Linked DNA regions of Diceros bicornis minor. The protein of the gene in region 1 interacts with the protein of each later gene in a biochemical or structural test. Links are inferred from orthologs where the notes say so. Each region holds a gene or a part of one and is shown in the gene's direction. Other genes may lie near its edges.

The links.
Region 2: the proteins of RNF114 (region 1) and XAF1 form a complex in vitro, tested with the Homo sapiens proteins (2 studies listed by BioGRID). The link is inferred for Diceros bicornis minor from reciprocal best matches to the Homo sapiens genes RNF114 and XAF1.

The regions. Positions count from the first base shown.
Region 1 is NC_080758.1:12,095,741-12,106,222, reverse strand, and holds the start of RNF114 (E3 ubiquitin-protein ligase RNF114), read left to right. Parts: upstream 1-5,716; 5' UTR 5,717-5,731; coding exon 5,732-5,871; intron 5,872-9,861; coding exon 9,862-10,012; intron 10,013-10,482. UniProt on the Homo sapiens protein: E3 ubiquitin-protein ligase that promotes the ubiquitination of various substrates. In turn, participates in the regulation of many biological processes including cell cycle, apoptosis, osteoclastogenesis as well as innate or adaptive immunity.
Region 2 is NC_080757.1:13,156,560-13,167,456, forward strand, and holds the start of XAF1 (XIAP-associated factor 1), read left to right. Parts: upstream 1-6,173; 5' UTR 6,174-6,242; coding exon 6,243-6,274; intron 6,275-7,839; coding exon 7,840-7,975; intron 7,976-8,573; coding exon 8,574-8,630; intron 8,631-9,011; coding exon 9,012-9,207; intron 9,208-10,457; coding exon 10,458-10,543; intron 10,544-10,897. UniProt on the Homo sapiens protein: Seems to function as a negative regulator of members of the IAP (inhibitor of apoptosis protein) family. Inhibits anti-caspase activity of BIRC4. Induces cleavage and inactivation of BIRC4 independent of caspase activation.

The DNA.
Region 1 (10,482 bases):
TTAAAATATAGAATATTTCCAAAATCCCAGAAAGTTCCTTCATGTCCTTTTCAGTCAAGTCTACGCCCAGAGGAGATCACTGTTCTTATTTCTTTCACCATGATTAGTTTTGTTTGGAATTTCATATAAATACAATCCTACATTATGTAAATTTTGGGGTCTGGCTACTTTCACTCAGCATAATGTTTTTGGGATTCATCCACATTATAAGTATAATGTATCGATAGTTTGTTCCTTTGTATTGCTGAGTAGTATTCCATTGTATGAAGACACTGCAACTTGTTTATTCATTCACATGTTGATATATTTTTGGCATGTTTCCAGTTTAGAACGATTTGAACATTCTTGTATGAGCTACAACACTCTTGCACAAATCTTTTTATGAACATGTGTTTACATATCTCTTGGGTAAAATTTGAGAATTTTACCTAAATTTTTTCTTGAGTGAAATTTGGGGTCACAGAGTGGGCTTTTTAATAAATGGTGTTGGAACAACTGGATAGCCATTGGGAAAAGCTAACATTGGATCCACACCTCACACCATACACACAAATTAATTCAAGATGGATCATAGTTCTAAACATAAAAGCTAAAACTATAAAACTTCTAAATGAACATGTTGGAGAACATCTTTGCAACCGTGGGTAGACAAAGGTGTTTTAGAACACAAACCCCGAATAATAAAAGGAAAAAAAAAAGATAGATTAGACCTTATCAAAATTAAAAATTTCTGCTCATCAAAAGACATGATTAAATTTGCTTCAAAATAATGCCACTGGTGGGTGAAGGGAAGAATTGATGAGGGCATAGAACAAATAAGACTAGTCATGAACTGGTAACTATGAAAGCTGGGTGAAAGGTACATGTAAATTCATCATTCTACTCACTTTACTTTTAAATATGTTTAAAATTTTCCACAATAAAAAGTTTTACAGGGCCGGCCTGGTGGCTTAGTGGTTAAGTTCGCGCGCTCCGCTACTGGTGGCCCGTGGGTTCGGATCCCGGGCGCGCACCGACGCACCGCTTCTCCGGCCATGCTGAGGCCACGTTCCACGTACAGCAACTAGAAGGATGTGCAACTATGACATACAACTATCTACTGGGGCTTTGGGGGAAAAAAAAAAGGAGGAGGATTGGCAATAGATGTTAGCTCAGAGCCGGTCTTCCTCAGCAAAAAGAGGAGGATTAGCATGGATGTTAGCTCAGGGCTGATCTTCCTCACCAAAAAAAAAAAAAAAAAAAAAGTTTTACAAAGTGGCATATTAAAAAAAAAGACACAACTAAGAAAATGCATAGGCAAGCCACAGACTGTGAAAAAATATTTGTAGGACATATGTCTGATAAAGGATTTGTATCCAGAATTTACAAAGCCTCCAAAAATTTGGTGCAGTTTTAAGTGTTAAACTTTAAATAGCTTTGAAGTATTTAAAGCTCAAAATTGCACTAAGACCTTTGGGATACCCTTATAGAGAAGAACTCCTACAACGAAGAACAAAAAAGACAATAAAAAATTAACAAAAGACTTGAACAAATGCTATCCAAAGGAAAGCATACAAATGGCCAATAAGCAAATGCAAAAGTGCTCAACATCACTCATCACCATGAAAATGAAAACCATAGGACATCACTAGACACCCACTAGAACGGCTAAAATCAAAATGGCAGACAACCACACGCTGGTGAGGATACGGAGCAGCTCACACACCGTCGGCGGCAGTGGGATATATTTGGGAAATGGTTTGGTTTGGCAGTTTCTAATAAGTTTAAATATACACTTGCCAAATGACCCAGCAATTCCAGCTTCCACATGGATGCTTAGTTTTTCAGCGTCTTGCTAACTGTGAATTCATTCTCTCATTAGCCAATGTCTCAAGTCGCAATATGTACATGGAGTGCAGCTTAGTGCTGATGATGGTGGATTTAAGTCCCTATTTCAGTCTTCTTGATAATATCCATTGTTTGGTTCTAGTTCTTGTCAGATCTTACTAGATCATTGTGTTTACCTCATGTTGCTGATCCTTGATATAACATAAACTGTAAAATGCTGTGTGAAAACAGTGAGCTGGTGAAACAACTGATAAACTGCAATTTTCTGGAAGCAGCATTTTTATGTGGTCACCCCCCTGTGTCTTTCCTGTTTATATCCAAATCATTCACTGCCATATCCCTAACACCTATTAGGAGGCCTGGCACACAAAAGTTATTGGTTGAATGGATATTTACATGCCAGTGTCACCTCCTTGCAACCCGAGACTATGTCCTTTTTGATTTTTACTTCCAGGCTAAGTACAGTAAGCCACAATGAGCAAGGGCAGTAGGCACTTAAGGAACAGGAAAGAATAAGAGAGGCAGTGTTGACCTTGCTGGGCAGGGTGAGCCTATAAGATACTCGTATGCCCCCCAGTGGTGTAGGTGGGAATTCCTCCTGTCTCTTACAATTTGGCAATCTTGGCGAACTGGCTGAAGCCAAGATGAAATTATCTGCCCATGGATTAATAAATGCAGTAACCATAGATTAATAAGTGTAGTAACACATAATGGTGTGAATTCCTCCTACGTTAGATAAGTATAGTAATAAATTTTACGTGTGACCCGAGGCTAAGCAATAGGGCTCTGAGGGTTACATGATTTGAGGGCTGAGGTCATATCTAATTCATCTCAACTATTCTCCCACAGGGCCTAAGGCACCACTGTTTAATTTTACTTAAAAAATGATGCAGGAACTTGGTAGAAAAGTTTAGACAATACAAGAGGGAAGAGAATGACAAGTTAGTCTTCTTCCAGGCCCACAACCCACAGGCCCCGGGTCCCCAGTTCCCCTTTCTGATAATAGACACTGGTACCGGATTCTAGGGAATCCTTCCAATCGTGCTGTGCCGGGGACTTTCCCAGTTTGAGCACGGAAAGCCTCGCATCCTGGGAAACCCCTGGGCCCCAGGCGAATGGGACAGTTGGTTCCCCTACCTTCCAGAGACGTCTATTCATCACACACAAACATACACATATACTAGCTGCATTACTCAGCATTTGGTGTTATTTTAATTAAACGTATACTTCAAAAATATATCAGCTGTATATTCATTTAACAAATATTTGTGGAGTTACCTACCGTGCAATACATACTGTTGTAGAAGCTGAAGATACAGTAGTAAACAAAATGGATGAATGCCTGTCCTCATGGAGTTGATATACCAGTAATTACATCTATTGTATTTATTTAACCACGTTGCCACTGTGACCAGCGCTGTCCTGGACATCTGTGTGTACATATCTTTCCCACAGGTGTGAGTGATGCCGGCCCTGACATCTGTTCCCCTGCTTTGAACCCAGCATAGATGGGGTTAAAACAAAAAAGCACTCACTCCCCCTTCCCTGCTTCTCTACGTTACATTCACACGTCAATATTTACCCTTGGCGTCCCTAAATTCCACAAGGCAAGTGGAGGTAATAAATTATTAAAAGCCCAGGTGGCTACAAACTGAAACTCTGGCTAATGACCAGTTCTTGAGGTTTGTTCCAGGGAGACTGAGATCTCGAAATTATCAAGAAGCTGAAGCGCCCCAACTCCTGGTTCCTGGAGCCGAATCCACCATCATCACAGGGACAGACAGAGGACACCTGCAGCTCTAGGAGACTGTGTTGCACAGGCCATCAAGTGCACAGGTCCCAAAGCCGGACTGCGTGGGTTCAAATCCTGACTCTCATTTCCCATCTGTGTTAAAAGGTAATTTAAATCAGCAATTCAAAGAGACTTATGAACTCCTATGTTCATTGCAGCATTATTCACAATAGCCGAGACTGGAAGCGACCCAAGTGTCCCATCAATGAATGAGTGGAGAAAGAAGATGTGGTGTATATATATACAACGGAAGGCTACTCAGCCATAAAAAAAGAAAATCGTGCCATTTGTGACAACATGGATGGACCTTGAGGGTGTTACGCTAAGTGAAATAAGCCAGATAGAGAAAGACAAACACTGTTATGATTTCACTCATAAGTGGAAGATAAATACATGGATAAGAACAGATTAGTGGTACATATATATGGTGACACATAAAAACTACACTATTGGTGGTGAGCACGATGCAGTCTGTATAGAAACTGATATATAATAATGTACACCTGAAATTTACACAATGTTATAAGCCAATATGACTTCAATAAAATAATTTTTTTAAAAAAAGGTAATTTAGTCTCTCTGTGCTTCAATTTGCATAGCTATAAAATGGGGATAATAAAAGAACCTAAGTCATAGGTTGCTGTGACGATTTATTCACGTGTAGTGCTTAGAATAATAAGCACAAAAAGAGTTCACTATTAATATTATTTCAGCCCTGTCCTCTTGTCTCTGTGACTAAGTGTATAAGCTCATGGAAAGTTCATTTCAAGAGCCCAAACTGGAGGCACAGTGGATTTGAAGTCCAGGTCTGGGGCTCCCCTGCCCCCGCCCACACTCACAGGCTCGGGCAGCAGCGACAAGGCCAATGTAAAGGCTTGTAAATACCCACAGCACACCTCTGCCCCTGCCATGGCACCCCCATCCGCGGAGGGGAGACAGTGCACCTCTGGCTGGGAAGAGCTCAGATGCACAGGTGCCTGGCTAGAAACAGGAAAAAGAAACGGTGAAGTGTAAGCATTGGCCCTCTGGGGCTGTTGCCTACATGCCAAGTCATTCTTCGGTGAAAAGATGCCCACATGGACAGCTAAAAATAATCCTCCTGCTGCGGCCAGGTCCAGCAAAATCAATGCAGAGAACTGGGAATGGGACAAGGGAGGCGCAAGTTTCCATTCAATTAACCTGGCTCAACAAACACCATTTATTTGTCCTGTGTAAACTCGTTACTGTGAGGCCTTTGTGGCCTTTCAGGATGGAAGTTTAATTGATCATTGACTTTTCTGGTTGAAAAAACCATGTAGCATTGTTAGCAGAGCCTTCAGTTTAAAAAGATGCATCTTGTGCAGTAGAACATGGAGAAAGTTGGGATTCAAAACATCTGGGTTCTAGGCTCACTCCTTTCTTGTGAGGTTGAGGTTTATTCTGTCTCTTCAAGCCTCACCTTCCCATCTGTACAGAACAGGAGCTGGACCCCATTGCCAGGAGACATGTGAACACAATGTTAAATAACGTTGACTCACTGCGGGAGACGTGTTTCCCATTCCTTCTGCTTTCACTAGGAAGTCTCAGTGTGGCGACAGCCTGTCTGCAACACTTCTCCAATAATGGCTGATCTCCCTTTCCAGCGTCAATAGTACCCAGCAAGAATTAATAACATTGTTTTGTTTCCATTGTATTTTTACACTGCCCTTATAGAAATGTGATACTGATTTTCTATTTGTATCTCAGGAGTGATATCAGATCTCCCTTTAAAATTTGTTTGCTTAAGTTTAAAGAAAGAGCAACTCTATTTGAAGAGAAATATTAAGTAACAGTGCATAAGTAAATATTAAGTAACAGCGTAACAGTTTAAATTTTGCAAACTGGCTGAAGCACAAAGCCCATTCCAATTCTGCCAGTCTCCGGATCTAGCTTCCACATTTTCCGGATTTCCTTCGGCATTTCCAGTAGCCCCGCCCCCAGCCGGGCGCACGCTCCATAAGCCACGCCCCCAGCGCGCCTCACCGCCCCTCGCCCCGCCCCTGTGCCCGCGGGCCCCGCCCCTCGCGCGCTCGGGCCCGCCCCCTCGGGCTCCTCCTTGTCGGCCGCCGTTGCGCCGAGCTCCGCGACAGCAAGATGGCGGCGCAGCTGGAGGAGTGTGAGGGTGGTGCGCAGCTGGCGGGACCCGCGGCGGAGGCCGACCCGCTGGGCCGCTTCACGTGTCCCGTGTGCTTGGAGGTGTACGAGAAGCCGGTGCAGGTGCCCTGCGGACACGTGTAAGCGGCGAGTCGGGGCCTGGTCGGGGGGCGCCACACCGGGAGGGAATGGAGCGCAAGAGCGAGGCCCCGGCAGGGAGGGTCTGGGGGCGGGAGCGACAGGACCGGCCTAGCGGGGCCCCCGAAGGCCCGTGGAAGTTGGCCCCCCGCCCTTCCGTTGAGCGCCTGCCGTGTTCCCGGCGGCCTGTCAGCCCTTCCCGCCGGTGACGGTGGAGGCGCACCCTGCTGGGGTCTAGGCAGGGTCTCAAGTCTGCCCTTGGAGAGCCACAGTCTCCCCTGAGAGTCTGTCCATCGCCCCTGACGTAGAGTACGTGTGGCGTCACGTATCCAGCTCTGCCAGGTAATTCTAATGGGCACTCAAGTTGGAGAAACGCTGAACTAGGTGGAAAGGACAAAAGGGAAGTCTCGGTAGAGAGCTGACCAGTCCGCCCTGAACTGAAAGGGGTGGGAGTTGGCAGATGGGGATTGTTAGCATTCCTACTCGCTTGTGTACGAGGTTTGTTTCATTCTTTTTGAAATTAAGCCTTCGTGGCCTGCGTATTGCTGATAGGCTGGTTGTGATGACTAAAGATGTGTGCGCAAATGTCGGGACAGGCCCTGGGCTGGCGTAGGTGCTTAGAGGTTGGCCGGATTTGAATCGAATCCTTGCTCTATCAGACACACAAACACACTCAAGTGGGAAGAATTACAGAAAATGTAGTCACCTGCTTCTTGCCGCTTGCAGTTGGCATTTCTTCTGTGGCCTCCCTCAGTGCTGTCGTGGGCATCTCCTTGGCGTTGGTCTTAGGACCCCTTTACTGGGCGGCAGGCACACTAGGCACCTGTTGGGCTTCACGGGCCTTCTTATTTCTACAGCAGTCCCAGGATGGACTGTAGGCGTCCGTGTCCCAGCCCAGAGAACAGTTGGCATCTGGCAAGGGCTCTTCAGCCGCACTCGCTGCTTTCTTGCTTCTTCAAGTACGCGAAGCTGTTTCTAGCCTCAGGCTGTTCCTGCTTGCTGTTCAGTTAGCCTGGAACTCGTCCCCCCCCCCCCCCCCCCCCGGTTTGCACCTCCCCCGCCACTACCCCACATCCTTTTCTGACTTCAAGTCCCGGTTTAAGTTACTTCCCTATCACCATCCCCATTTAAATTACCTCTCTCCTTCTCTCCTGGGCTTCCTTCTTCCTTGCACAGAGCAAAACGTAGGGATCACGAGGGCGGTGACCATATCCATTTTGCCCCTCTTTGTATCGCAGGGTCCAGCACAGTGTCTGAGCATCCGTCTTCCGCTCTTATATTCAGCCCACTAAAATCTTTGTATGCCCACTATGTGCCAGATTCTTGGCACACAGTAGGAAACAAGGTGGTTCTGCCCTCAGAGTCCACAAGCCGGTGGATTGATAAGTGAGTACTAACAGATGTTCAAGCTATTGTGAAAATTCCTTGTGCAGTGGGAGGGTATTATAAGGGTCAGACCTGTGTGTGTGGGTGCAAGAGTGATCAGGTAATGGATGAATGAACTAAGAAATTAGTGGAGGAAGCAGACTTCGGGAGAGTGCAAGTGGAGTCTAGGTAGCTTTCTCATTGAGTCCTCTTTGCCTTGGATCAGCCCTCCTTATTACCTTTACCTAATTTTGAGTTAACTCAATGGGTTTCCTTTACAGTTAACATTTATAAAGAGACTTGACCTAGCACAATTTACCAACTGAAAAGCAAAAAATTTGAGGTTTCCTTGTGCCAGATGAACTTTTCCTAGGTCAAAGGTCAAGGGGCAGTACTGGGATTCACCTTGGCTCTTTTCTAGACTCACCATACTAGTTGCGTGTGTTCATTAGTTCACTGCTGATTGAAGACACATGGCTGCACTTCTGTGAGGGGAGCATGAGTCTCCGTTAGCTCCAGCCAGGTGCTTTTTGCTCTGCCTAGGTGATTTTTGCTAACTTTTGTGCTTGGAAACTGGAACATCACTGCAGCTGTGGCTGGGGCATTGGGTTTTTATAAAATTTATTTCAAGCCCTGAATGACACATCCCTCTCCAATCTAGTGGAATACAGCTAGAGAAGGGCAGGTGGCTGGGTGCCCAAGAGAAGGGACTTTCTACATAACAGGAAAGGTGGAGCATCTAGAAGGCTGAACTAGAAAAAGGCCCATAAATGGAAAATGGAAACTGAAAGCCAGCCCAAGATATAGGGACCGTTTAAAAGCGGGCTCGTTCATTGGGCGTGACTCAGGCACAAAGTGTCTCTTGAACATTTGATCGATGAGCTGTATCTGGGTGTGTCCTTGAAGGGAGGCTTCGAGCTGCTTTTATCTACAGGCTGGGTTTGGTTTCATTATCCTCTCTGGGCCCTGTGTGCTCTCTTGGGTTTATCTTGTGATCTGCCCTTGAGAAGAGGTATGGCAAGTGATGACTACAAGGCCTGTCTGCCTCTCCAACCTCATCGCCTACCCTCTCCCCATGGTCTACCACGTCATGGCCCCAAAGGCCTTCCTTTCTGCCTTTCCCACCCCCTTGACTTGGTGTCATCTCTGTATGGAACTCTGTGTCCAGGTCTGTGTGGTTCTCTCCTCATAATTTAGGTCTCAGCTCAAATATTACCTCCTTGAAGAAGCTTTCTGTGATCTACAAAGAGAGCTGATCTCTTTGCCTTGTTTTATTTCCTTCATATACTTAATCACTATCTGAAATTCACAATTGTGTTTTTTCCACCCTGGAATATCAGCATCATAAGGACAGGGACTTTGTTTAGTTCACCACTGCGCCCTCAGTGGTGAATGAGTAGAACCCCTCACCTTCTCCCAGACTGGTCTAGAATTTTGCCTGGCAGCATTAACATCTAGCTTAATGACAAAGAGGAATAACATTCTTAGAAACAGTAAAAAGTTGTCGAATGTGCAGATTACTTTTGATTATGTATCCTGAGTTCTTCCTGGCGGATTTTGTTATCCTGCCTTAAATCTATCAGGTTGGGTACGTAGCCGGGGTATTTTCATGCCTTATTACCCATTCTTTCTGTGTACTGTATCTCAGCACCACCCCCTGCCTAGGCTTCAGGATAGAACTTGGTCATCTTTGACTTTCCCTCTTTTCTTCTCCAAATTCAGTAAGTGACCAAGTCCTGCTGATGCCACCTCTGAATCATTTCCTGAATTAATTCTCTGTTGCCTCAGTAAGGCCCTCACAATCCCTTGCCTTTAGCCATCTGTTTGGTTTGTACTTCAAGTCTCTTCTCGTCTTTCCTCACCTAAAAAAAATTAAAAACCAACAACTCTATTGTCCATGGTGACCCCGGAGTCATTTTTCTAAAACTTGGATTTGGTCTTGTTGATACCTTGCTTCAAACATCTGGGTCCCTCCTGCTTATGAGGAAAAGTGTTAGACTTTTATTTCCTCAGATACATTGTGAATTTTTAAGTCTAAGGGCTGGAATATTCTTCCCTTCCTCTGCTAGTTGAACTCCTTCTTTTGAGGCTCTTCTGTGGATGCCACCTCTCAGTCTCACCAGCCCTGTCCTTCTTGGGTCACACCTAGTTGCTCTTGTCTTTGTGTTCCCATAGTGCTTTGCATTCACCTCTAATGATAGCAGCTCCTGTTTGCAGTGCATTTCATATGTGCTAGACATTGTACTGTGGGCTACTGTACGTATTCCATCCTACCGACAATCCTAGAGGTATGTACTACTGTCTCCATTCCGCAGAGGAGACACCGAGGTTCAGGAAACCCCACCAAGATCTGTCAGGGCCAGGGGCTGAGGTTTGAAGACTGCACCATGACCTTTCACCATGTATCATGGTAGTGTGTGTGTTTCTGTTGCTGGACCTGTGTGTTCCTTGCAGGGGAACCCCCCGTCTCCATTTTTCTGGCTTAGGAGGACGCAGTATTTGAATCGGGGGTAGGGAACAAGTTGTTTTTAATCCATTATTCGTTGATGTCTTTTTAAAAGTTGATCCATTTTTGTTGTCCTGTCTCCACAATGCATGATGCAGGTTCTCTGTGTGTCTTGTTCTAGCTTTTGCTCTGCATGCCTGCAGGAATGTCTGAAGCCGAAGAAGCCTGTCTGTGGGGTGTGTCGCAGCCCTCTGGCACCTGGCATCCCAGCCGTGGAGCTCGAGCTGCAGATTGAGAGCACAGAGACTTCTTGCCATGGCTGCCATAAAAATGTATGTGGAAGTAAGATGGAGGAGTCATTGTCTTTCTGTGATGAGATGGGGTAAAATGTCGAGCTGTTGCCATGTTGTTTCTGAAGTTAGAGCATGACTAGGTGACTAACAGCATGTGTGCATGCCAGGCATCTGTGGCAATGGCTGTGCTGTTCCATTTTGGTAACCTTATTGGTTATTGTTGTTTTTTTTAAAGTGTTGGTTTAGTATATTACATATTTTACCTTTGAAAGCCATAGAAATCAGTTATCCCATTTTTTTCCTATAAAACACTCATTTTCCCAAAGCATTATGTCCAATTTTAATTAGAATATAATGAGTGATATTTCTTAATTGTTTAAAATATAAAATGAATTCAATGACTCAAAGTTATCTGCTGCGATGAGTTTGAGGGTAAATTTTATAATCTATATCATTACAGGTATACAGTTTAATTTTTCACTTTTTTAGCACTTGACAGGGAGGAATCA
Region 2 (10,897 bases), on another chromosome or scaffold:
TTAACCCAGACCATGCCCTCTGCTTTGTAAAACAATATCCTACCGACTTGGCATGGTGCCTTATTTTTTTCCTGACCAATACTGACACATTGGCTCAAATAAATAAACATTCCTTCTTTGATTTACTTTTTTGAAAGAAATAAGTTCACATGTCAGTGAAAAAGCTGATGCTTATAACCTCTTCTCTGAATGAATTTTTACATTTTTATGATAAATATTAAGGAACAATAAACTTTTCTTTGTCTCTTTTTTTTCAGTGATCTACCTTGACCTACCCCTGGCCTTCAGCATGGAGCCCACGTCACATCACTGAGATAGGAAAGCAGTGGTGTGCTGCTAAAGGGTTAACAGCCAGCTCTCGGGGGGCTGGGGGGTGGCCGGTGGGGAAAGTCCTGATTTGTAATGTTTGCCAATTTCCATGGTGTAAATACTCCTACCATGGCCAATTTCAAGCTACCTACATGACTTTTCCATGAATGGAAAATTGGGAAGAGATGGGCACAACAAGACCTCAGAGCCAGTGCAAGCCATTGTAAGAAAGCCCCAGCACACCATCGTAAGACAGACCACATGATGTCAAGGACAGGGTAGAAAGAGACACTCATAGAGACAAGGAGTGGAAGAGGATGTTAGAATTCAAGACATGAATATAAGCTTTTTTTTCAAAAATTAAAAGACACTAATTATTCTCTAAAATGAGATCTGAGTGGCTGCTCATCACCACGACTTGCTCACGCACAGTAAGTTCACCCCGACTTCTGAGAATGAAAATATGCTCAGAGTCTGATTTTTTTCTCTTACATCCCCTAGAAAAGTGACAACAAAAGATTTGATGGGTATGGTCATTTGTACTTGTCGCATGAGATCTGGCAGCAACTAAGGTGGCGAGTCCATGACTGAGACCTAAATACTCCCCTGGGAGAGGGAGAAGGCCCCTGAACACTGACCCTGAAATGTCCCTTTGGGCCATTTGGGGACAAAGAGAGGAGCTAGGATTGCTGATTGGGTAGGGGAGTGGGTGAGGAGGTGCTTTAACCAGGAAAAAGAGCTGAGACTATGTGGAAACAGACCTCCACCAGAAGGCAGGGAAGGGAAGAATACTTGGGACCACAAATGCACACAGGATGCCATGGAGCTGCTGTTTCTTGCCCGTGAGTTTAATGACAAGTTTCCTCCCCTTTGCATGCCAACTAAGCAGGAGCCGACAGGGCATTCCCTGACTTCGCCACCCAGCCAGACCTGGAGTCTGCCCCAAACACAATCACAGATATTCCCAGGCTTGAATTCCATCCAGAGACTAGTCATTTGATGCAATTGCATGTGGTCTGAAAAACAAACTCCCACTCAAACATATTGTACTTGGGGAGACTGCAATCTTGATAATCATGTCTGCCAGAACTCAGGCCCACTCTGACCACAGGATCCTTCTGAAAGGCATGACCAACATAAGTGTGCACAATTCCACCATGTAATTTTTGTCTGGGAAATGAAATACCTCCGTCGTTACATCATTTTTCTTAGCATAGCGGTCCCTTGAAAGAATAAAACCTAAGCTCTCTTCCCAAAGCCAGCTATTGAAATAACCTTCTTTTCACACTCTCTCTTATCTTCCATGACCTTGTACAGCTTTCATACAGAATTTCTCGTTTTATCCTCAAAACAATGCATTGAGGTACGTATTATTATTCCTAATTCCTGGTCCAGCCCAGAATTCCTACTTCCCCTTCCCCCCCTCCCAGTGAAAGGTGACATCGAGCAGCCTGGCCAAACCATGTCTGAGGAATCGGTTCCCTGTGACAACCCTGACCCCCCTCCCCTGACCCGCCGGCCTGACACAAAGGGACTGCCGGAAACTCCTGACAGCTGCCAAGCGGGCAGCCACAGCGTCCTGGAGAGGAATTCTAGACTCACAACAGAGCATTTCTAATCCAGTTTTTTATGGGATTGGGGTTGGAGGAGGGGGTTGGTGACCAGCCAAAGACGGGTGGCAGAATGACGAAATCATGCAAGCCCACAGCTCTGATTCACATTGTGGTGGGAATGGGGACAGGCCTCTGTGCCAACCAGAATGTTCCCGGTTACACACTGCAGTTAAAAATAGTGGCGGCTCAGGAGTGGGCATGTGGTCAAAAAGAAATTTTACTTTATCTGTAATATTCTGATTTTTTTTAAAGAAAGCATATTTGTGCATTAGTTATATAATTATAAGTTATCTTGAACGTTCAAAAGAAATGGCCATCACTGCGTCTTTGAGAGCCCCTGGGTACTGGGGTGGGCTGGCGGTGGGGAAGGACTTCTAACTTCCGCTCTAATTAACCCAGACACGCATCCTTCACATCCATTCAGGTTGGCCAGTGTTTGCCCACCAACGCACAGCATAGCGCTTCACTGCCTACTAAGCACAAGGCATGTGGGTCCCTCTGGCAGAAAGAGCCTGGTGAAAGAGGTGATGAATCTCAAATTGTCTACACCCATAGTTGAGTGGGGGCAAGTTGGGGCAACAAACAGACAAGCAACTGACCATAACCAGAGACAGAGGAGGGAGGTCCTCTACCAGTGACCGCATTGGAGTTGGACTTGAAGAACTGGTGGGATTTTGATATGTAAGGGAAGGGATGGTGCAGGGGTGGACAGTCTGGAAAGAGAAAACATCTTGGAAGAAAATTAGGGCAGAGATGAAAAAACTCATAGTCCTTTCCAATTCCACCCCCATGGCCCTGTCCCTGATTCCTGCGCTCTGGGACGCCCCACCTGTGCACCGCTCTTTTACATTTCTACCACCCCCCTCCATTCTGGGGGATCCCAGCAGGAGACGAGGTGTGAAAGCTCAGTTTTTTTCGTTATTGTGGATATTCACAAGACTGCCTGCCCCGAGATAGACAGGAGTGCGAGGCAAAGGTCCAAGAGATTAAGGAATTTGCCCAGCTGATGAGGAAGGGAGTCAGGATGCTAACCGGGGTCTCCCCCACCACCAGCTGTCTAACAAGGTGGACCGTGTCTTGCTTAGACACGTAGATCCCTGAGTCAGATCAACCTGTTTTGAATCCCAGCTCTGGCACTCGCTGTGTGACCTTGAGCAAAGTCCTTAAACTCTCTGTGCCTCCGTTTCTATAGGTGCAAAATGGGGCTAATAATAATTCTTGTGCCAGAGCTGTTGGGCAGATTAAAAAAAAAAAATTAATGGAGGCTGGCCTGGTGGTGTAGTGATTCACATGCTCTGCTTCGGCAGTCCGGGGATCGAGGATTCAGATCCTGGGCACAGACCTATGCACCGCTCATCAAGCCACGGTGTGGCAGGTGTCCCATATATACAACAGAGGAAGAAGGTCATGGCTGTTAGCTCAGGGCCCATCTTCCTCAATAAAAAGAGGAAGATTGGCAACAGATGTTAGCTCAGGGCCGATCTTCCTCACACACACGCACACAAAAATTAATGCCTGTAAAATGCTTAGCATAATGCCTGGGACATGGAAAATGCTTAAGCCTTCATTGGCTATTACCTCTTATCCCTCTGATCATTATGATTACTGCCCACTGTTCCTCATTTGGTGCCTGAATTTTACAGTCTGGCAGGAGGCTGGAGCCCGTCTGGCCTAGTCCTTAATCCCATTATCCTCCTCCGAGGGGCCCCCATCCCATCTGCAGACTTCACAAGAATTCTCTCCTCCTGCCTGTGTCATCGCTCCTCACTCATCATTCAGAGCCTTTCTGTTAGCACAGCTGCTTCTGGGGTCTGGGAATGCTCTGAGGACCCCGGGGGGGATCACACTAGAGTAGGTCTATCCAGTGGGCGGATGGGGGGGTATGTAAGCAGCCTCCACATCCTGTTCCCACATCCCTGAAGCACCCCATCCAGCAGGCCACCACCCCTTCTCTTCCGGTGGCCTCCCCTGGGCCTGCTTGGATGAAAAGCTTGTCTGCACCTTGGCTTATGTGGGCTTTCTTGTGAGCTCACCCACAGGGGACATGAGAGCTTGGCATTCACCGCATCCTAGACCCTCCCAGCCTCACTCCTGGGGCCGAGTCCCCTCCATCCCTGACGGGTTCATCGAGGGACAGGGTAGTGATGGGAAGGAAGCTCAGGGCCTCCGGAGATTTCCACCAAATGATCCCGGCTCTCCCCTCGGCAGCAACCCAGCCCATCTTTCCTCCATGAGCACCAAGTGTCTGTCCCCACGCTGCACATCTCTACTTCTGGAATTTTCAATGACGCTCATCTGCCCCCATCCCTTTAGTCTTCAGATGGAAAGCCAAGGGCCAAAGGCTTAAATCACAGCGCTGGCCCTGCAACTTGGAACCAGCCTTTTCCTCCTACACCAGTGGCTCCTGGCTTCTCTGCACGTTAGAATCACCTAGGACCTTTCAAAACCCCACAGTCCCACCTGGACCAGTGAAGTCACACTCTCTGGGGTTGGGCAGGCATCAGTGGATTTCTGTAAGTTCCCTAAGCGATTCCAATGTGTGGACAAGTTTGGAAGCCACTGTCCTCCACCCCAGCACCAAGAGCCCCGACAAATGGCCAGGCCCCAATCTAGGTGCTTTGCGTGTTACTCATCTTTGCTTCATGATTCCTTTTTGCTTTCTGACATTCTGAACATCAGGAGGGACTTCTTCATGTATTAGTGAAAAGCTGCTAGGTATTTATCAGCTGTTGTAAAGTTGTGTATATGGTGTGCTCACTAAAGTTGAAATAAATTAAAATGCTTAGATACATGTGCAAGACTACAATCAAAATTCTCCAACTACACACTAATATCTTAACTGTGTTTATAAACAATAAAGGTGATTATTGAAGCTAATTAAAGATAGGCTTGATTTTTTACAAATAAAATTCTGGGAAACAGAAATACATATTAAATCCTCTTAAAGAATTTCAATATGAAGTATATAATATCCAAATGTTTCTAATGCAGTTGCAATTATCTGCATATTTTTAAATTCTCATTGAGCTATGTGATACACTGTTTCATCATTTTTATTTATCTAACGAATTGCACCCTGCTTCTCCCTGTGAAAAGAACACAGGTAGACAAACAAATCTCCTCTGTTCACTTGATTCAATTATGCACATATAATTTTGGACATGTGTTGCCTTTAACAGAACTTGATTTCTTTGAATCTCAAAACTTTGGGTCAATTTGTCCAGTCATTTATAACTGTCCGGGTCATGGACTCCTTTTGAGTGTCTGCTAAAAACATTGGCTCTTTCTTGGGAAAAGGCACATACATGAAAGCAATTGTGCACACAATTTCTGGGAGCATACAGACTCCTAAAGTCCCCCAGTTCCCCAGTTGAGTCCAAAAAATGAAGAAACAGAAGCCCAAAAGGCTGAGGTCACTCAAGCTGCCAGTTAATCAGGATTCGAACTCTGAGCTCCCAACCCTATGGCCATTGAGGAGAGACAGGCCGGGGGCCACTTTGCCTGGGTTCAAAGCCTGATTCTCCTGCCTCCTGGCTATGTGACGTGTGCAAGTCACATCGCCCCTCACTGCCTCGGTTTCTTTATCTGCAGATGGGGATGATGAAAATAGAAGCTTCCTCACTTGTCTGTCACCCCGTCAGCCTTACAGCCATGTTTGCTGTAATTATTTACAAGTGAGGGAAGAGAAGCTCAGGGAGCTAGGCTGTTGCCCTAGGTCACCAAGCTACTGTGTGATGTGGCCTGAAAGCCTGCAGTCTTGGCACACACCACTCTGCATCCCCAATTCCTTCTGGACCCTGTTTTCAAAGTCGTCACCACCTAGGACCAGAGGAGGAGACAGGAAGTCCAGGAGCTGCTCTCAGGAAGCAGCCTTCCAATTCAACACAGCAAGCCATGTCTCTCCAGCCGAGGAAGGACCAGCAAGAGGAACAGGAGAGGGGAGTTCTGTGGAAGTGTTCTGTGGAAGGGGATAGAGATACTCAGAGGCAGTGAAGCCAGCCTGGGTGAGAGGAGGGGCTGCTGCCCAGGGGAGGCCTGGCCTCTGGCTCCCTTCCTCGAGGTCGTAGAAATGGTCAGTGACAGCAGCACGGGGTGACAGCACAGGCAGGCGGAGGCAGTGGGGGCAGGCTAGGCTGGCCAAGCTACAGACGGGCTTCCTGGGAGTGTCCAGCTGCAAGAACCTTGGAGCAGCCCTGGGCTGGGAATTCTGAAAAACCCCTCCCTCCCCAGAGCTGTGGGCCGGGTTGTGGGAACACTTTCAGTTTTGTTTTCTAGTCTGCGAGAAACAGAAACTCAACAGGAAGACTGCGGAGACCAGAAATGGAGGGGGCCTTCCAGGCATGCAGGAACTGGTAAGAAGTGGCTTTCCCTAGCTGTGGGCCTGAGGCTGGCTGGTGAGAGGGGCAGCAGGACAAGGCGGCTTCTGAAGTGAGGAGAAAGGGTCCGGACATTGCTATGGGTGGGACGGGGTGGGCACTGTGCCCCAGGTAAGAAGGTTTAGACTCAGTGGATCTCTGAGATGATGAGATGGCAAGAGGTGGGCAGCATTACCTTAATATCACTGAACCCCGCCCCCTCCCCGAGATATTTTAGACTTTCTGGGACAGTCCTAATTCAAATAGCCAGGCTAATTGTCCCTGCTGGGCTACTCAGGCTTGTCAGATCTTGGGTCCTAATTTGTGGTTCTGATCACCAAGTCTTCACACCGGTCTTTGACAGAAAGGGGCCCACGGAGGTTCTCCAGGACCGTTCCCAACCTCTCCTTGAGAGGGAGCTGTGGGGCGGGGTGGGGTGAGGGGGACAGAGGATCCTTCCCAGAGAGCTTTGCTCCAGACAGACCCTCCTGGCTCCCTGGTGTGTGGACCAGCTCAGGAAGAAGAGCAGAGGGGACGGGGCAGGGAGAGCAGAGAGAGAAAGGGGCCAGGCCAGGCAGGGGGCAAGAACAGAGGAGGAACGGGAAAGTGGAGAAGGCTTGGTCCATCTGGGCAGCGCAGAAGCCATGAGCTTGTTCAGATCAAGAGGAGTGAGGCTCTGGCTGCTCCCCTCTGGCCACATCCCCTGTGCCAGGGCCTTGGGGGTGCAACTCTCATCCTCACTGGGGCTTTAGGGCTGCAGCCTCTGAGTTTCCTTTCTCCCAAGCTGCCACAAGCAAGAGCTGATGGAAATGAAAGGAGGCATTTTGCAGTGAGGAGGAGGGTTAAGAAACCACCTGCCCGGGACCCGGGAGGCTCAGAAGCTTCTGTTCTTTGGGGTCTTCAAGAAGGGCCTCGGGATCTCTCTGAGTTGCACGGGTCAGCCTGGAGGCAGGGCATCAGTGGAGGCCTCAGCTCTCGGAGCCGTGGGAAGCTCTCGCTGTGGAGATCCTGAAAGCCGGTGTTGCCCTTGCAGGGGGCGTGGGCGTGGCGGGGCTGGGTTCCCAAGCAGCCGTGTACCACGCGGGGGAGCACTTGAAAACAAGACAAAATACTGGAAGGAATTTGATATTTGTTCTTTCGCTTTTCAAACAGCTTTACCAGGGTACGATGGACATAAACTGCATTTATGGTTCATTTTTGAAGTGTACTATGTGGCGCATTTGGCACGTGTATATCCCCATGAAGCCATCACCACAGTCAAGATAGTGAGCCTGCCCACCACCCCTAGGTCTCCTCAGGCCCCTGGTAATCTCTCCTCCTGCTCCCTCTCACCCAGCCCCACTCGATCCGGGCAATGTGAGAGCTTTGTGGAGCGTCCTTACACTTATTTTATGATTTTGTGTTGTTCTGAATGGGGAGCAACATGGGGAGGGGGCATCATCATCATGTTTTCAATGCTTGAGGCCTCGAAGGATCTTAACCCAGCAGCCCGGGTATGAAATATGACTCCATGTTTTATGCCAAGAAGTCAGCTTGTTTTCCTTCCCCCTTTGCTCCTGCAGCAAAAGAAGCATGGCCCCTGCCCACTTGGCCCTCCACGAGGCCCACTGCCTTCTGTTCCTGGTCCTCTGCCCGGAGTGCAAGGGACCCGTCCCCCTGGCAAAGAAGGAAGAGCATTGTGAGAACGGGCACCAGCAGGTGAGGAGGCAGAGGTGGAGCGCGGGGAGGCCAGCCAGAGTCTAGTCCTCGCTGCAGTAACTTGCTTGGCTGGTAGGGGCTAACCATTTAGCCCCTGCACGCCCCAGCCCCCGTCTGTGACGTGGAGATGGTGACTCTGCCTTTCTCACACTGAACTGAGTCTACCCCGCTTTTCCCATTCCCAATCCTTTCCCTACAGGCTGATGGGTTCGGCCAAGACAAGGGGTCCCTGTTTCAGAAAAGGTTGAATGTTCTTTTGAGATTTGTGAAGAGGGGAAGCAGGAAAGGAAAGTTCTAGAAGGCAGTCATGGCCAAGGCCAGTCAAAGGCTGACTTTTCTTTCCTGCTCTTTCATGTCAGTCCCTCCTGGGGTCCCTTTTCTGTCTTTCTGATTCTCAAGCTCAGGCATCCATTTCAACTCTGTGGGTCCCACAAACACTTCTTGCACACGGGCCCGGTGCTGCAGAGAGCCTGAGGAGCCACACCTGATCCCCACCCCCGAGGAGCTCACAGACCCGGACCTAAAACACATGAACTGAGGCAGATGTGGGGAGAGGCAGCAAGAGCTGGGTGGGAGCTGCATTTCTCTCTGTGTTTAGGTCTGGTGTGCGATGTGTCAGCAGAGCGTGCAGAAGCACTTGCTGGAGTTTCATGAGGTGAGAGTCCAGAGTGATTTCTCCTTAACCGCCAAGCAGCCAACCTGGGAGGAGAGGAAGGGCGAGGAGGGGCCAATAATCAAGATTTCCACTTGACCTCTCTCTTCTCACCCAAGTCGGCGCGGGGAAAAATGGAGAACTAGCCCGCCACAGGAACACAGGTCCTGCTGTCCCCTAGATGCTGGTCAGAAGGGCTTGCCCCGGTCCATGAGCCCAAGAGAGCTGTATTCCCAGAGGAGAGTGCCCCCTCTAGCACTTCCCATCGGCTTTCTCTTATTGGCCTCAGTTCCTAGGGAAATAAGCAAATATCCCTATCCTGACCAACAGGGCTGCAGTCACTGCAAGCCAGTGACCATGCCCGTCCTGCCTGCCTCCCCGCAGGCCACGGAATGCCCAGACCGCCCTGTTGAGTGTAAGTTCTGTAAGCTGGCCGTGCGCCTCAGCAAGGTGGAGATCCACGAGCACCACTGCGGCAACCGGACAGAGCTCTGCCTACACTGCGGCCAGCCCATCATGCTCCGAGAGCTGGCCCAGCACACGGACGTGTGTCGGGGTGAACAGGCCCAGCTCAGGAAAGGTGAGCAGCAGAGGCTGGGGAGGAAAAGGGAAGCTTCAAGGAAAGGGAGCATCTCCTGGATGGGATGCAAGAACGCAGGCTCCCATCAGGACGGATGATGTATGTCTATGACAGACGTGCGCATATCAAATTCATCTGGCTATTTGAGTTCTAGACCACGTACGAGAGTAGCCTTCTTGTGTATCTGCTATGGTCTTCAAATGACTGGTCCAGGGAGACCAAGAGGCCAGGGGGTGGAGGCCTGGGAGTCACACAGATGGGTGCAGAGGCAATGGGGGCCCTACAACATGGGAGACTGGCTTTGAATCCTCCAGCACCATCCTAGCTGGGCAGAGACCCACCTGCATCCTTTTACAGATGAGAAACCCATGCACAAAATGAAGCAGGGGCTTGCTAGAGGAAGAAATAAGACTGGACACCAAGTTTCCCAACACTAAATCGGGAGCTTTTTCCACCATCGGCAAGGGACCGAAGGGAACCAGCTGTAGCTCCCGGCCTTTGGCCTGTGTGTTGGCTCCCTGGTACCATTTCACATTCTCTGGACCCAGCTACCTCTTTATGAGGTGTGTTTACGGAGAACACAACCCACCAACGTGACAGATCTGTTGACTCCACTGGTTGTTTTGGTAATGTAGTGACATGTGGAAAGAGCCTATAGCACCCCTTGGACAGTGCCTCTCTCCTGGTACACAATCTACCCACGGACAAAATTGGCAAACGGAAAACTGGAATGCTTGCGATTCATATTCATTTCCTTCATTCCAGCATGGCTGGGCTTCAACACAAGCAACACAACTTGAACACAACTTCATCAACGCAACACAACTTCAACAAGACAACACAACACCGCTTCAACACAATCGACAAAGATGTGTACGATAACACCCAATTTGATCACAGAGCTCAGAAACTGGTGAATGAAAGAGCAGTCAGATTAGACGGGATTGGCATCTGTGGTAACAGCTCTCTTGTCTCCTTAGAAACCAGTCCTGCTCCAGGAAAATGTCTCTTCATCAGGGTGGCATGCTGCCCTGAGTGCAGATCTGCAGCTATAAAGGAAATGATGTGGATGATTTGGCCAAGGGTTTCCTGTGTGGCTGAGGACAGTGACAGTGCAGGACACTCACGGCCAGGCAGGCCCGGGGGGCAGTTCATATTCATGACTATAGGCCACGTACACACTTGTGGGAAAGTTGGGTTTGCCATTGTCAAGGACAATCATTTGTGGTATTGTCTCTGTGCTTATTCAGGGAAGAGAATTTCAGCTCCTGAAAGCAAAATCTACTGTCATTATTGCAACCAAAAGATTCCAGGAAATAAGTATTTCCACCATATGGTGAGTAGCAATTAGTCATTTTCTAATGGTGCCAATAGCTAGTCCATATTTGAAAGTGTGATATGAAAGGTAGATTCTGGGCCCAATTTTACATAGCATTCATATTAAAGGCTCCCATATTTATTTTTGCTTTGTTCAAAAAGGGATGTTAGTGAATTGCTTTAGGCTAATTTAGCATACATAATTGGTCTCCATCTGTGCCAGCCCTTCAAGGAGCCTCCCTGACCAGTCTAGCTATCCTGATCACCTCTGAACATCTTCCACCTCCAGGGGCTAGGCATTACAATTGGGTCCTCAATAGGGCCTGCCCTATTATTTTCTGTCCCTTGTGGGAGTCTTCTCTATTAGGCCATG